Linked DNA regions of Oreochromis niloticus. The protein of the gene in region 1 interacts with the protein of each later gene in a biochemical or structural test. Links are inferred from orthologs where the notes say so. Each region holds a gene or a part of one and is shown on either strand. Other genes may lie near its edges.

What was found.
Region 2: the proteins of rc3h2 (region 1) and klhl6 form a complex in vitro, tested with the Homo sapiens proteins (2 studies listed by BioGRID, with this or other methods). The link is inferred for Oreochromis niloticus from reciprocal best matches to the Homo sapiens genes RC3H2 and KLHL6.

What each region holds. Positions count from the first base shown.
Region 1 is NC_031972.2:25,738,775-25,747,721, forward strand, and holds the start of rc3h2 (roquin-2), read right to left. Parts: upstream 3,338-8,947; 5' UTR 2,842-3,337; intron 1-2,841. UniProt on the Homo sapiens protein: Post-transcriptional repressor of mRNAs containing a conserved stem loop motif, called constitutive decay element (CDE), which is often located in the 3'-UTR, as in HMGXB3, ICOS, IER3, NFKBID, NFKBIZ, PPP1R10, TNF and in many more mRNAs.
Region 2 is NC_031987.2:18,377,038-18,385,153, forward strand, and holds the start of klhl6 (kelch-like protein 6), read right to left. Parts: upstream 3,852-8,116; 5' UTR 3,365-3,851; coding exon 3,108-3,364; intron 3,028-3,107; coding exon 2,862-3,027; intron 1,378-2,861; coding exon 928-1,377; intron 835-927; coding exon 597-834; intron 172-596; coding exon 1-171. Other genes in the region: immunoglobulin superfamily member 3, read left to right, coding at 7,438-7,510. UniProt on the Homo sapiens protein: Involved in B-lymphocyte antigen receptor signaling and germinal center formation.

The DNA.
Region 1 (8,947 bases):
TAAGGCCAACATCGCACAGTAAAAGTGAAATAGGAAAGCAGTTATGTAGTGCTTAGAAAATGCAATCTTAAATTGGCTGTGACAGCTACAAGTTTAGGGCCTCCTTGTGGCTTTGCAGTCCAAGATGTTCAGACACACAGATAACTGTACTGTCTCTAAGCCAAATTCTGACGTAATGTATTTGGATGCCTGACATTCCCTTTTATTGTCAATCCACATTTCCTGTATCGAGGCTTCACAATACAATACCAGCATGACAAGACCCCCCCTGTGATTCATCACAACATCTGTGTAAACAGAAAAGAAGAAAAAAACACAGAAGAGGCACAAAGCACTAATTATGTATTGATACGCTGTGCTGTGGTGTTAGTGTCAGTGTGTATTATGACTGCTACTGAATAAGGCACCACAGTCGCTCAAGGTCACAGGTTCAAAACCCAACGCCTTTTTTTTGTGTGGAGTTTGCATGTTTTCTCTGTACACGGTTTCCTCTGGGACCTCCGGTTCCTCCTGCCATTGAAAAACATGCTTAGTTAATGCTGCTTATGAAGGCCAAGGACATTCTCGCAAAACATATTAATGCTTTCAAGAGTTTTACAATAAAGTGGAGTTGGGTGGGTGGGGGAGTTGTTGGGTTCCCCTACTTTTTCCACCGAAACGTAATTTACTTGGCAGGAAATCACGTTTTAATCCCACATGTTTTAAATATCAGTAGAGTATCTGGCAAGAGTAAGTGGTACGATACATATTGCTATATCAGTATTTTGTCCCACGTCTATTCTAAACTATAAAATCAAGGTAAAATAAAAAAAACCCAAAAAACAAAACTACAAGTGAGAGGTCCGTGGCTTGACACCATAAGAGGTCTATACTGTATGTGGCTGATAAAGGCATTTATTCTTTCTTGGACTCATGCTCCTGTTACTCTAAGACCATTTTTATTACACATGTACTAACATAGATACACTGAATGGGATCCTTAAGGATTCATGGGCAAGCAAACATTACTCACAAAGCTTTAGAGGCTGAGTTGAACCTAAACCAGAGGAATTTAGAGTAATTTGAGGTCCGCTAGCCCCTTCTCAAGAGCATTCCAGATACTGTGAGTCTATAATAGGTGCAGCAATATGCACATAACCCACATGCTTTTACCACATTAGTGCTAGATAAGCAGATATAGACCTCAACACTCAAGAAAAACATCACTACAAAGCAATGAACACAGTAATGAACACATCACAGCTCTAGTTTATTCATATTTAATGCCTCTGAAATATGTCCACACAGTATATGAAAAAAGGCTGAAATATTTCTAAATACTCGTGACTTTTAACACTTTTCGCCAATGTGCCAATGACCTGTTAAATTCAACCTCACAAATATCACAGCCATAATTTTACCATCCACTCGTTTCCATAGCCTCGTGGGAACATCGAAGCACAACAAGGCTGAAACTTTACGCCCACCACACTGCTGCCAATAACATTTTAATAACATCTCTCAGTGTTTACATTTTAAAGTTTAATGGATACTTCAAAATCGCAAATCGGAAAACCTCACTTCACAGTGACAGTTTTTATATGAATGAAAACTTTCTATTTGAGTAGGTAGCAGCACCTCTGTGCTGTAAAGTGGAAACAATAAATGCAAATGACAGTCAGCAGCAGATAAAGGATGAAGGGAAAGTTAGACTTTAACACTGAGAAATGATGGCGCCAGGTAATTGTTTGCAAGACTCTCAAAGGGCACAGAAAATCCAATCTGCTGCGCAGGGAGCACAGGACGCTGATGCACTTCGAGGTTGCGATATAAAACCATAACATAAAGTCGCACCAATACACTGGAATTACCACACATCTCGTTTTAAATCTTGTCATAGCTTCGCAACTCTTGGCCATAACACTGCCAAAATAACCCTGTCGTGAGTTTATTACATTTCATATCACTTGTTTCACCATGTCATGTCACTTGTTTTTTCAGTGTACTGTAGGGGTATGTGGGCTTGTGTGATTATTTATTCATTACGTCTGTCATCACAGTGTGTGGGGGTAGTGTCTGCATGGGAGGCAGGGCACTCATACATCTCACAAAGCTGCTGCTGGTTGTTTTATACAGCATATATACACACTGCACCATAGTCTTTTTCACTTGGCCTGTGATTTGTGTCTGCAGCAAAGTGGAGGGAGGGCTGCTGCACCTTTGGTTAATAATGTTAGAACACGAGGTTGCTTCCAGTTGCAAATCAGCAGGTTATACAGTAACCTTCCCTGCAGGGCGGCCATGCTGCATGCTTAAACTTTACGATGACAGCGGCGGTAAATAATATGCAACACCTGAACTTGGAAGCTGCTCTGCTACGGCTCAAGAAGTCACTCTCTCAGCAACAGCGATGTTACTCCATAAATTTCACATTGGCTTGGAAGCGATCTCCGCGCACTAGAGCCAACATTAAGCAGTCTCCACCATTACAGCAGCACATCTACTTTCATATCGCTTCACATATTGCCACTGAGTGCCTCAACTCTTTCCAGAAAAGCCCCTCGTTTGTATTCCCAGCTCACTTAAGTGCTGTCACTTCATTTCAACTACAGCCCACCTTCTTTTAATATAACACCAGTGCCAATTCCAGAAATTAATGCGCTAGGAGCATGATGGTTACTATAGACATTGTTTGTTTGGTTTTTTTTAGATCATGAGCCACGATACAAGCTCTTATTTGCAAACGAATGGGGAATAAAAAAGCTAAACAAAAACATGTAAACAACCCCGAGATGTCAAAGGCATTGCAGAAAAACTGAGCAGCGGGAGAAAGTAGCGCGCACCTCTGGATAAGTCACTTACCTCACGCGTTACACCAGAACACCGGAATAAACATATTCATAGCCATCCACGTGAACATGCCTTCAAAATTATTCTTCATCAGTTGCAAAACAAGCACAGGGGAAACATTATTTTTAATGCGACACTGACACGGCACGGCATCCCAGAGCAGTAGAGACAGGTGCCTTGGTCCGCTTTTAATCCTCTGCCCCCCTTTCGCAGAATACGTGACAAGAGACGCTCGCTCCTCTCAGGTACGGTGAGCCACACGCCCTCTGCTTGACAAACCGAAGCTGAAACTAGGAGATGGTGGTATTGCTCCGCCACTGATGGTTCCCGAACTGGCCCTCATCATCGGACTCAGCACCGAGCTGCACGGACAGACAGGGCCACGCTCCTCCCCAGATACGATTTACTAACTGCACCGCGGTTCGGCTTCAAAGGCTGGTGCGTAAGGGTCAGGGGAGCGATGTGATGAGGATGGCACTAGTTTAATGTTGTGAGCAAGGATAAAAAGATGTAAAGGGGCAAGCCGGAACAAGCCGCTTTTCGAGGCGTGGGCTGTGAGCTTTTAAAGGAACAGACCGAGTAGCAGGGTAGAGGATGCGCATCGACAAGTGCGTCTGCGAAGAGGAAGTTCACACACGAAAACACAAGCAGTTCCCGCTTGCTGTTGCAACCATGTTCGAAGCTGTGGAGTAGCGGAAAAATGCGTGCTTAAACTTAATTGCCTTTACCACTGTATGAAATGCTTTCAAGCCCACAGCCGTGTTTAACAATGCTGAAAAGCTTCTCTTAGACATTTGGATAATATCTGGAGTAGGTCTAGGTGAATACATTTATATATTATTATATATATTACGTATATATTTAATGATCCATTCATTTTACATTCATTTTATAATTTTGCTGTTTACGAAGTAGCAGGCATGTGTGAGCGCATTTACGGACTTTAGTGACCAGTAAAACAGGTTATTAGTGACTAAAGTCATTATGACTGTAATCCTGATCTTCAATGAGTTTAGCCTTGATTTTTAGTCGAAATTTGCACGCTTTCACATTATTGTCATTTTTTATATCTGAATCACACTTTTGTAATAACTCAGGCTTTTCCCTCAGTGAGCTGCTGTTCACTGCAGGAGACGTGAGCCTACTCATTATGATTCATACTGGAAGGCTAAATCTGTTCCAAAACACATTTTGAGCTGTAAACATGTTATCTTACATATAGAATCAAATTTTCTTCTTGTGCCCCAAAAGCCCTTGATGTACGAATTTCTGTAAGCTGAAACCTTTTACAGTAAATATTACAATCACGCCGTTATGAAAAGCAAAAATCTTTCCAGCATGTGTTACATGTTTGATGTCTAACAATATAAGTGGTGCACTGAGGCTAAGGATGTTTCCTCAAAGACTTCTTTGGACCTGCAAAACTCTACCTTGAACAATATTATTTTTATATAAACCAAAGTAAAGGTACAACATAATGTTTAACACCTTGCATTCAATTTGAACCGTAATAAAACAAACAGTACTAAACTGCCACAGTTTTCAGGATAATAGTAACATGATAGTTTTGAATGTATTCTCCAGTTTAAGTCTGAATTAGGGTTCTTTCAACTATAAGAAGATAAAATTCAGCTGTTTTTTTTTATTTTGAGATTTGCAGGACTTTGTATGACCACAAAGGCTTCAGAAAATGAAAGGTAAAATAAAAAATAGCTTTATATCCATCCACCTGTGGACTATCAGGGGGGAACATTGAGTGTGTCTCCAGGCCAGTTGAGAGATGTAATCTCTCCAGCATGTCATGGGTCTGCCATGGGGCTTCCACACAGTGGGACATGTCTGCAACACCTCACCCAGGAGGTGCCCAGGGGGCATCGTAGTCAGATGCCTAAACCATCTCAAGTGGCCCTTCAATGTAAAGGAGAAGGGGTCTACTTTTTGCCCTTTGCTAATGACTCAACTCCTCATGCTATTTCTAAGAGAAGGGCCAGCCACCCTTCGGTCATGTTACTGACTTGTTGCCAATTAACCTTATTTGTATAGCACCAGTTCAGAGAAAAGGCCATCTCAGAGTTCATCATACTGTAAGGTAAGGATCCTACAGAATTAGAGAAAAACCCCTGTGAGCAACCACTTGGGGGCAGTGTGGAGGAAGAACTCCCTTTCAACAGGAGGCCACTGCAGGCGGAATCAGACTTTTGTAGGGGTAACCACAGAGCAACAATAAAGAAGACAACCATTCATAATATGTAATAATGGCATCTGTGTCACCTGATCCAATCATAACTACACAATTTATCAAAAAGGAAAGTTTTAAAAGTAGAGAGTATGTCTGTGTCCTGAACCCAAGGGGGAGCTGGTTTCATAGTACAGGGTGATAGCTGAAGGCTCTGCTTCTCATTCTGCATTTAGAAACTTTAGGAACCACAAGTAAGTCTGTAGTATGAGAGTGAAGAGCTCTGTTGGGATAATATGTTACTAGGATTTCACTCAAGACTTTGTTTGTGAGAAGGTTTCTTTTCTAATTCAATTCTGAATTTAACAGGGAGCCAATAAAGATAACCTAATAAAGAAGAAATATGATCTCTCTCACAAGTCTCTGTTAGTAATCTCACTGTGGCATTTTGGATCAACTGAAGGCTTTTTAGAAAGCTTTCAAAACAGCCTGATAATAACTTACAGTAGTCCAGCAGAGGTAACAAATGCATGGACCAGTTTTCCAGCATCACAAACAGGATGGTTATAATTTTAGTGATATTGCGCAGATGAAGGAAGGTACCTGAATATTTGTGTAATGGATGAGTTAAAGGACATATCTTGGTCAAAAATTCCTCACAGTGTTGCTGGAGGCAAGAATAAGTATCTTATAATACAAAATATTTTTGAGATTTAGGTTCAAAACTGAAATTAGAAGTACAAAATTTCACATCAAAGCTTTTATAGCTACAAATGTATTTGAATTGCGTCATTTGAAGCCACAGAAGGCACAATTGTATAAATAAAGTTTGGTGTCACTGACATAGAAATGAAAATGTATGCAGTGTTCTTTAATAATATTACTTAAGGGAAGCGAGTACAACTTAAAAGCTGTCAGTCAAAGCATGACAGACTTTTATGTGTGAGAAAGACACATAGTTTACATGAACAAACTAGAGTCTGTCAGACAAATATGATTAAAACTAGCAGCATGCGCTTCGCTGGTCTCTGCAGTAAAATAACAAATGCGATATCACATTCCTCTCCGAGCAGCACAGAGGCGAGTCCAAGTCTGATGAAAGCAATATTTACTTATTTCTCCCAGTTTTCTGTTGACACACACAAAACAGCTCCTCTGTAATGAAACTGTGTTCACAGTGAGGTCAGTTTTGATAAAGCCGTAATCAAATGCACTTAGCCATAATCCTACCTCAGAATACAGTGAATATTCCATCTCTTCCTCTTGGCTCTTTCTCCCCAGCTCTGTCACAGCACAATGCCACCTTATTCAGTACTACATGAAAACAAAGCTTCATATAAGTTTGTTCAAACTTATATGAAGCTTTTAAAAAAGGGTAAAGTTTTGTTAAAGGTGTATTTTTGTGCAAAGTACACCATTCACATGGTGCTGCTACACAGTAGCTTACTTGACTAGGCAGGTGACCCACTGCTGAAAGGCCACTGGGTTCAACTATTTTCTGCATGTCAGTCCCCCTTGCTCTTTCTCTACTTTCTTGGCTACTGTCCTGACAATTTCAATCACTGCATCAACATACTACATATGTATGATATAAACCCTATACACACATCTCTTTTAGTGTTTTACATGTTAATAACCAACACTGGGTTTTGTTTCATAATATTTGCCTATTCAAAAATCAACCCTATTAACTCTAGGGATGGTCCATAAACAAATACATAAACAAACATTTATTGTCTCCAGGACACGGAATCCAGATCCAGTTTCCATGATCCTCTGGCTTTTCCTTTAGAGTTTCCATGAGTTTTACATTTTTGAGTTTGCTGTGAAATGTTTTGACATCTGTTGAATCTGCATCCAATTCTTCGTGGTACAAATATCCAAATCATCCCCAGATGATGAATTATATCCAGAATTCATATTTTTCTGTTGTCTGCAACAGATTTTCTAAGTATGTAAGTAACTGCTGAAACAGTTAACATGGTAAACATTGCCATTGTCATTCTAAAGTGCTAGATGCTTCCTCGATGCTTTTTATTGCTCTTTCCTTGTGGCTTAACTTGACATCTGGTCATAATGTGGGCACAGGAATATGAAAACCATCTTTTCCTGAGACAGTCTTGGGTATGTGTATATGGATGCTGTATAATTTTAATTATAAGACCAAAGAAGCTACTTTTCCTTAATATAATTACTCTCCATCAATATCTCTACCACTACTCTTCCATCTTCCTCGTTGCCTTCATCCTCCCTGCTGTTTCTCTCTTAGCATCTCATCCATAATGGACGTGCTAAAAACCTTACATACATGGATTTTGTTTATGTGTGCAGTGGTGTGTGCAAACACATGTGCGTGTATGTATTCTGACCTAGTTCATGGAGGCAACACTGGTCGCTGTTGAAGAGAATTTCGATCCCTTCTCAGTGACTTTAAGATGTTTTCCTTATGTTTGCTTTCTGTTTTTCAACTATAACTCACAAGATCACTTCTTTATGTTGATGTTTTTTCTGACTAAGCTACTTTATGCAAGTTCAAGTAGGTAGATCCATGCTTGCTTAATTTTATCTTCAGCTATATTTATGTACATTCTTCCTTGGTCACACACAAACGCGCATTTGCATGAATTTCTAAACTGAATATTTACACCAAAGCCATGCATTCACTGTTTGTCTGCACACAGAGCCGGTGGCATTTCAGGCGCCCACTGGCTAGTGTTCCATTCAGCAAGATGAGTGACAATGACATTTCTGGGCCAAAAGGATAGCTGAGGGATAAAAGCAGACATGTGTAGGGAAGAGATGGAGTGAGAGAGCATGGAAACCCTCTCTGCCAACCGGGAGAACCCACTTGCCGAGTCATGCTCAGTGAGCTGTACACAATTTCTAGAGGGTCAAATGGTGAAGCAGTTGCTTTTCTGTGAGCTCACTCTACTCATGTTTTTCAGAACAGTAAAGACTTTTATTTGCTCCAAGTTTGCTCTTCAGTTTGTTGCAATCGAATAATTTTGTTGCAATAAAAAGCAGAATGCAATGATTCGCATTTTCCATAAACCCATATTTTATTCACAATATAATACAGAAAACATATCATATCATAATGTTTAAACTGAGAAAATGGGCCATTTTAAGAGGCAAGGACATTTTGAATTTGATGGCAGTGACACATCTCAAAACAGTGAGGGTCATATTTACTGCTGTGTAGAGCCCCTTCTTCTTTTTAAAAACAGCCCATAAACATTTGGGAACTGAGGAAACCAGTTGATTAACTTTTAGGAGAGAGATGCTGCCCCATTGTTGTCTAACTGGCTTCTAGCTATTTGACAGTCCTGGGCCTTCTTTGTCATATTTTTTGTTTCGTGATGCAACAAATGTTTTCAATTTATGAATGATTTGGACAGCAAGCAGTTAGTTAAGCACTTGAATTCTTCTACTATAAAGCCAAGCTCTTTAAACAGTATATACTTTTAAGCACTGATGGTGTTTTTCCAGATGTGCAAGCTGCAAGTTCCAGTACCATCAGAGATGCAGGCTTTTGAACTGAGCGCTGATAGTAAGCTGGATTGTCCCTTACCTCTTTAGTCTGGAACATAGTGTTTATGTTTTCCAGCAAGAATTTTACATTTCTAGCCGTCTGACCACAGAACAGTTTTCCTTCACTTCAGTCTAATCCACCAAGAGAAGATGATTGTGTTTCTGTCACTTTGACTCGGATTTGTGGATGACACGCTGAACTGGAGGTGTTCCTGAGTCCATGCAACGATTTTAGACTGAAACTTTTTTTTTTTTTAATCAGTTCCACCTGCGGTCAAAAGGTGACTGGCATCAAGTTTTAAAATTCATATTTTTCCCTCGTGTGTAGAGATTTCTCCAGAATGATAATATCATGTGTAGCCAAGGATATGGTATTCACAGTCTTCACAACTTTTCATTAGGAAATATTGT
Region 2 (8,116 bases), on another chromosome or scaffold:
CCTCAACACTAGAAAGCCTCTGAACTCCATCAAACCCTCCCAGTGCGTACACTTTCCCACAATGAACTGCCATCTTGTGTCTCCAGCGCCCAGTCGACAGGGGCTCGATTTGGATCCACTTGTCCAGGGCACCATTGTATTTCCAGACATCATGCTGTGTCTCCTTACCTCCTACAGCAACAAGACCATTAAAGAAAAATGTGATTATCTGTACAAATATTGCTTTCATTCCAAAATACTGACATATGACCCGTCTTTAGTAATAACTGTGTTGGGACTCTGCACTAAGTTATCATGCTGTTTAAAGATGTAGAAATCCTGCGTGCTAGTCATAGCATTTACAGTCTGCGTGTTCCACTTAACTAGAACTGTCAGTTCCTGCGTTGGGAAACACCTAAAACCACAGCAACTGTTAGTGCAGAAATAATGTCACGACTTCCTGTTGTTTTGTTTTGTTCATACTATAAATTCCTAAATTCTCATTACATTTGAATACCAGTGAAGTGCACACTTCACGGGTAATAACAACAAGGAGCAATCATCAGAACAATTTCACAAGTGAAGCCTTTCTATGAAAAAAGAATATGTTCACTCACCAGATATGTATACTTCATTGTGGAAAGTGATACAAGCAAATTCCACCCATTTTCTATTTTGGGACTCATCCTCTAATTCTGTCAATGGCATCCTGGCGACCTCCAGTCGGCTGCGTCTGAGAGGGTCCAAACATGTGACAGTGGAAATGAAGCGTTCGTCTTTGGTGCAGCCTCCAATGATCAAGAATACTTCTGACAGAAAGTGCTGCACACGTGGTTTGGTTCGTTCTGAGACCACCTGCAAAAAAGGTCAAACATATATGAAACTTGGACATGAGACAAACAATTATTAACAACAATAAACACAATATGCCCAGCGGTTTATACTGACCTCCCTGCCAGAGAGATGATAAATGCGGGCCTCTTGCAACAAAGGAAAAGCCTCGCTGCACCGTCGTATCAGCTCATCTGACTCCACTTTCTCAACAAAGTATGCCGGCTCCAGCAGCGGCAATCGTACGTGCGTAAGCAACCTGGCCAGTAAGGGATAGCGTTCATCCTGCCGGGCTCTCACCCAGTGCATGAGTGCTTCAAAAACACACTCCTCACACTTCACATCCAGGTCATCCCTCTGCAGGACAGTCTCCAGAGATTCCATTGGCAGCTCCAGGAAGTCCTGCTGCTGGACCACTTGAGAGAATTGAGTAGTAATATAGTCCTGAGCTCTGGAGCGCAGGGCTGACAGGGCATGTCTGTCAGCCAGATTTAGGATGCCAATACAGGTGTCTAGCTGCATAGACTTGCTGAGAAAGCTAGAGCACGCATCTACCACACGCAGGAACTAAAGAGACAAAAAGAATAAAGGCATGGGTTAAAGCTATTTGTAGCTGATTAAGCTGCTCCAAATTGGCAATTATGGCTATAGTTGAATTTTAAGGGCTTAGAATTTGCTTGTTGGTAAACTGGCTGTAAATCAATTCTGTCCCAGTGCACTTCCATTGCAAGCGATAGGGGACTTTTTCTGCAAAAAAATGCCTTCTAAAGTATAACACAGTCAATAATTTGTATGCAGTGAGTCCTCAGACGTCTGTGAGCATCAGACCAAACAACTGTTTTCTTATTTGCAGCAAGAAAACAATCCATCAGTGGACAATAATAGAATTTTGGACTAAAGAGGCCCACAGTTTTCCCCGGAACCCACTTTGCTTATCTAACTGCCTTAGCCTGAATTTATATAAGCTTTTGAAAACCTGCGTTTGAATTTCAACAGAATCACTGTGGATATTTTTATCTATTACTTGCAGCAAAAGCATTTACAAAGCTCTCTCACAAAGCCAGTATAAAATGAGATACCTGATTAGCTTTTTTAAAGATATAAAATAAAATAAAATTTAGCCTCATATGATAATCTTAGCCCTAACTCTTAATGTGATCTTAACCTTGCTTCTTAGTTACACTGAAAATCCAGCAAGAGTGCCTTAAGTAATTATCATCAAAATTTAACACCCGAAGTGTTTTTGCAAAAATAGAAGCACACAAACACAAACACCTGCCTCCTGTGCAGTGTGGCACAGCTGTGTAGTTAATTTAAGCCCTTATGGAAAAATGATCCTGAGTGTAAACAACTGACCAACTTTCACTTCCCTCTTAGCAAAACCAATTTCTCATCCAATCACATGTTTGTTCCCTTTATGCGAGGAAAAAACTGAAGTAAGAACCTGATAGCAGTTTCAAAAATTTAATTACAGTTCCACATCACAACACCAAATCCATCATCCCAATTAGAAATAAGTGGTTTGCTTTCTGCTGCTAATTCAGCACGAGGCGTCACCATTCCTTTGATGGCCTATTTGTTCCAACTGACTTTACATGCAGGTGGTTAAAATGTAACAGATATAAAAAAGATCGTATAAACCGACGGTGTTGATGGTTTAAAAATTAGGTGAAAGAGATCATATGCTGCCAAAAACCTTTTTCAAGTTAAACTCAAATGAAACAAACTTTCAGTCAGATTAATTATAAACTTTATGGTTGATTTATTTTATGGACTTAAATTCAAGCTGTGCTGCCTTTATGTGAAAAACATGTTAAGGTCAAATTTCTTTGTAAAAAATGATTCACTTGGTCTTTAAAGTCTAAATTCACACCTCAAAGATTTGTAGAACTTTTTTGCCTCTGCTGTTTGATTTCACTACATCTTTACATTTGGTGTTAAAAAGTGTCAATGACCTGGCAAAAAAAAAAACCAACAACAACATGTTGCATACAATGATTTTGCAAAAAAAACCCCTGATTGAGCAACAAAGATCAGTTAAGCTGCTTTACCTGAAACTGACTGGCAGCCTCGAGTATTCTCTGGACATTCGAGTGTGTGAGGAGAGCTCGGCTGGTGTAGGTATACTCCAAGAGACAGTGCATTGTCCCGCTGTCCAACCCTTTCATTTCCACACGTTCCTCATGACTCTCCTTGAGACCGCTGCAAAACATTGCCCTGTAGAGACCAGCCATAATTTGTGAGTAAAACAAGTAGGCCCGAGATCACGACACACTTAAGACCAGATGATGATTTACCTGAAGTAGTGACTTGCAGCCGCCAGAATCGCTCTATGGCAAGCAAAGTCATGACCCTGAACGCGCAGTGTCACATCAGTCAATTCTCTGTTCACTCGTAGGGTTTCCATCCCTTTCTGGAGCTCCATGGGCAGACCTCCATCTTCCCAACGTAACTCACTTGGTCCTGTTACATTCCCTTTCTCCTCGTTCACGCTGGACTCCTCAGCGAGAAGCGGCAAAGGACAGTCTGTAGTCCTCTCCAGTGAGTCACTCATCTTTCACACCAGCAGAGCTTCAAAACTCCCTTTCTGCAGAAGAGCAGCATACAGCCACCTTCAGAAACACCTGCACACGTAGCCTACATAGAAAGTGCACAAGCATTTGTGGTTTACGCTTGCAGCAGTTCTTTTGCTTTGAGAAGTGGATTTGTGTTTTTTCCTGTCTTCTTCATACTTCCTATTCCTGTTCTGTAAGGGACATGCGTATGCATAACACTTCCCCTTCGTCTTCAGCTGAGTAAATTTCTCTCTAAGCTAGACAGTTTTTTGCCTTTCTTTGTTTTTTTATCACAGACAATGATGGGAGGTCTCTTCGATGAAAAAGATGACTGCAAAGAAAAAAGAAAAAAGAAAAAGACGTCTGCTCAGCAGCTTAACCTAGTTGGGATAAAAGTATTTAATCTCAAACATAAGCGTAACGCTCCTGTGAACTCCTCATCTTGAGTTTTCTTGCATCGCGCCATCACACTGGCGCCGTAAGTCCAAGTTTAACTAGAGGGCTACCTTTCTATCTAAACCAGCAGGTTGTATCACGGTGGGAAACATGAAAGATGACGTGCTTGTCTTCCCATACATGAGAAAGTCCCTCAAACCCCTAGAGGCATTCATTCACGACCATTTTGACGTATGCTCGTCTTAAGAACTCTGTGGTTGTGCAAGTTTGTGATTCATCAGAAGAGGAGCCTTAGATTGTGACATTTTACCAGATTTAGAAGCCGGAGACGGTAAAAGTGTCCAAGTAAACCCAGCAAAAAGCCGAAAAACAAAACAAAAAAAACACATTGTTTTTTGTTTTTGTCCTTAATTAGTATTGACAACAAAAAGGCAGCACTCTGCCCTCCAATATACATCACATGTATTTTAGTATTGTGCAGTCATTCAAATGCAAAGTAGTAAGATAAACTCACTGGCAGCTCTATTAGATGCATTTTGCTCATTCTGGGTTGGACCTCCTTTCTGCCTTCATAACTACCTTGATTCTTCTTGTAGATTCAACAAGGTGCTGGAAACATTCATCAGAAATTTTGGTCCATACTGACATGATGGCACTATCATGTTAGAAGCAGCTATCACAAGATGGTCACATTGTGGTCATGAAGGTATGGACATGTTCAGCAGCAATACTCAGGTAGGCTGCGACATTTAAATGATGTTCATTTGGTAGTAAAGGGGCCAAACTGTCCCAAGAAAATCTCTCCTGCATCATCGCACCTCCAGCAGTGTAAACCGTTGATACAAGGTAGGATAGACCCATCTTTTCATGTTGTTTATGCCAGATTCTAACCCTACCAGCAGACTCATCAGACCAGACAACATTTTTTCACCATCTTCAGTCTGTGTAAACTGTAGACTCAGTTTCCTGTTCTTCACTGACAGAAGTGCAACCTTGACACGTTTGACATGTTATGCGTTCAAGTTGCTCTTATGCTTACTTTGGTTGTAACGAATTGCTCCTGTCAGTTCAAAACAGGTCTGACATTTTCCTCTGACCTCTGCCATCAAAAAAGACATTTTCGCACACAAAAAATGCATGATTGATGTCTCACTGGATCTCTTCTCTTTTTCTGACCATTCTTTGTAAATGCTAGAGATGGTTTCGTGACAAAATCCCAACAGATTAGCAGTTTCTGAAACACTATAACCCATGCCATGTTCAAAGCTACTCAAATCATATTATTTCTCATTCTGATTTGTTTGGTTTGTTGATAGTTTGTTTGTTTGTTCAAGTATTCTTAAGCAATAGTTATATAGTCCTTCTTCAGGTCTTTAAAAGTTTTTTTTCTCCTTTTTTTGACATGTTGATGTTTTTCCACTCATTTTTAGTCCAGTCTTTGTATCTGACCATTTTCAGAGCAATTCTGACAAGTTTGTTGAGCCACTTGACTTCAATGAATCACTGAAGCATTAAAAAAAGGAACTTCAATCAGTGTTGTGTCTACACAGCAATGCTTTATTTGTCCCCATTTGTTTTAGTTGAAGACAACATCTTTTAACAGGCATAAAATTTTGTTTTTGCACCAACAAAGTGATTCTAAAAGAGATACCCCCAAAACATACCATATCTCACCATATTGTGTAGTGTGTCTTTAAAACTTTTAGGGAGAACTGGACAAGACCAAAACTTATGACACAAATGAACCTTATTTGAAGATCATATCCTAACAAGAAAAGAGTCCAGGGGTGAGGACCTGAAGGACCTGACACAAAACCTGAAAAATGCATCTGGCCCTTCATCTGATCCATCTACTGTTCATTGAAGCACCATCAGAAATGGTATCTTTGAAGGGTGGATGTCAAGAAGCAATTCTCAAGGAAAGGAAACGGGGAAAAAAGGCTGAGATATATCAAATTACACAAGAACTGAACTGCTGAACTGAAAATCAGTTGCAACATGTCATATAGAGTGATGACTCCAAATTTGAACTTTTTGGTTAAAAGCTGTACAGCAGTAAGTGTTATACATGTGTCATTACACACATCTGTAAAACATTGTGGAGTGCTTGGGGCAGAATTTCAGCCAGTGGTGTTGGGAATCTTGTCAAAATTGATGGAATTATGAACAAAAAGTTCACTGTCAATGCAGTAAAAGTCATGGACTGGCCTCCCCAAAGCCCAGACCTGTACATTACCAAAGCAGTGTGGGATCATCTTGATACAGAATGGAGAAAAAAGGCAGCCGACATCCCAAAAAGGGAACTAAATGTTCTATAAGAAGCCCGGAGAACTATTCCCAAGGACAACTTGCCTTGTAGAGAGTGTCGAAGATGATCATACCAAATATGGATTTTCTAGCTCCTTAAATACCATATTACCATTTATCTTTGCATATGAATACCTTGCTGCACCTATCTGTCATTTTCCAGTATATACCATAACAACCATCAGCATAATATTGGCCACTTTGGGATGTTGTTAAAGAAATGAGGGGTGTTTTAAAACTTATGCACAGTAATGCACCTAACAAAGTGATGGATGAGTGTAGATTATAACAAAATACTGAGACTTTATTAGTTATTAATAAGCTACATCATGGCATCATTTTTCCCCCACTGTTTTTGAATTCATAATAGTCATTCTGGATTGAAATATCACTTATGGGCTTCTTAAATCCTGTATTTCTTCTGCATACATCATTAAATTTTCTTGTTTGTATGAACTCGATAAAATGTTTACCCCTTCTCTTTCTTAGCTTGTCTCTATTATATCAAACGTTTTCCACCATGTTTAAACAGTCTAAATGTTGAAACGCTGATTTGACTGTGTAGAACTGTACGTCTTTCTGGTCTCCACCAGATGGCAATATTGCGTCATTAATCTACAGGATCGTTCAAACAAATGCATTCAAATTATCACTGTTTGCAAAAACTGGGTCAAACTCAGATGGGGATGGTTAAAGGGCCATTTCTACGCAACACAATTTGACCGCAACCACGTTATCTCACAAGCTGCCTATGCAACAATATGATCATGCTATGCAACCATATTTTAAAGGAAGTCGATGAATAATCGAAAAGTTACATATGTTTTCCCAAAAAGTTTATTCCGTTCATCTGGAAGTATCATCTCAGTCGCAGCTGACTGCAGGTTTCCCCCCCAACCTTTTAAACAGCATCTCTGCACAATGACTGAAACTAGCACCAAGTTTCAGTCATTATGCAAAAGTTGAGACTGAAGAAGTCACTTGGGTGAGTGACGAAACGTTTCTCCCACTGAAACCGCTACATAGAAATGAACATAATGAACTGTTTGGTGCCCTACTTATGAGCCCGCTCAGCTTAAGGTTGTCTAACCACGCGTGTAACCATCCAATGTTTCGATCGAGGATGGAAAAAAAACGAGCGATGTTACTGATCTCCACCAATCCACCTGTACACATACACAGAAGTCATGAATAATGTAGAGTATGCAGGAAATATCTCAGACTTCCTCTTGCTCTAGGTCACCGACAGGAAACATAAACCACTTTAACAAGTGTGAAAAGACACAGGCAGATTTTCACACAGACTAAGAGCTTGATCACAGAGGCTATGCCGAGGACGTAAAGTGCTGAGCCTGAAAGCTGAAGGTTCATGATGAGTTGTTTCCTGCTCTCCGTTTGGAGGTCCAGTTTGATTCTCTGCCTGGGTCAGCTTTTGCGTTGTGGTAAGTGGTACACTGGTTTCCTTTAGCTGCAGTGGATTCTAGTCAGTGACCTCGAGGATTCACTGGAGATGTCAGAATATTAACTGTGTTAAAGTTAGCAGGTGGTAAGAACACACTGCATGTCCATTTTGAATAGAATAATAATATATAATTACCATCAATACATATGCATGTTAAGCTCATCGTCTTTGGTAAAGCTAAAATATTGTCTGTGTTGTTTGCATCGTTTAAAAAAAAAAAAAAAAAAAAAAAAGCTCCGAGATTAAACTGACTGGTTCATCTCCTTTGGTGTCTCTATATTTAATATCAGTTTAATTGCTACACGAAAGCAAATTAGCTCCAGATTATTTTCATGCATCATTTGCATCATTTGTGTACATATTATCTCAGTCTCCCCCCTAGTCTGAGTGTTTCCTCAGCCACCCTCCTGTCGTTCAGGTTCCATGTTTCCTCGTATTTCCCAGTTTAATTTGTTCCATTTTGGTTTCTCTTATTTTATACCTTTTCGATCAGTCTTAATAGAAAGCTCACTTTATGTTAACTTGTTCCTGCCTGTCAGTGTCTCCTGCATTGGGGCCCTCATTCAGTTTCACATGATCTGCAGGC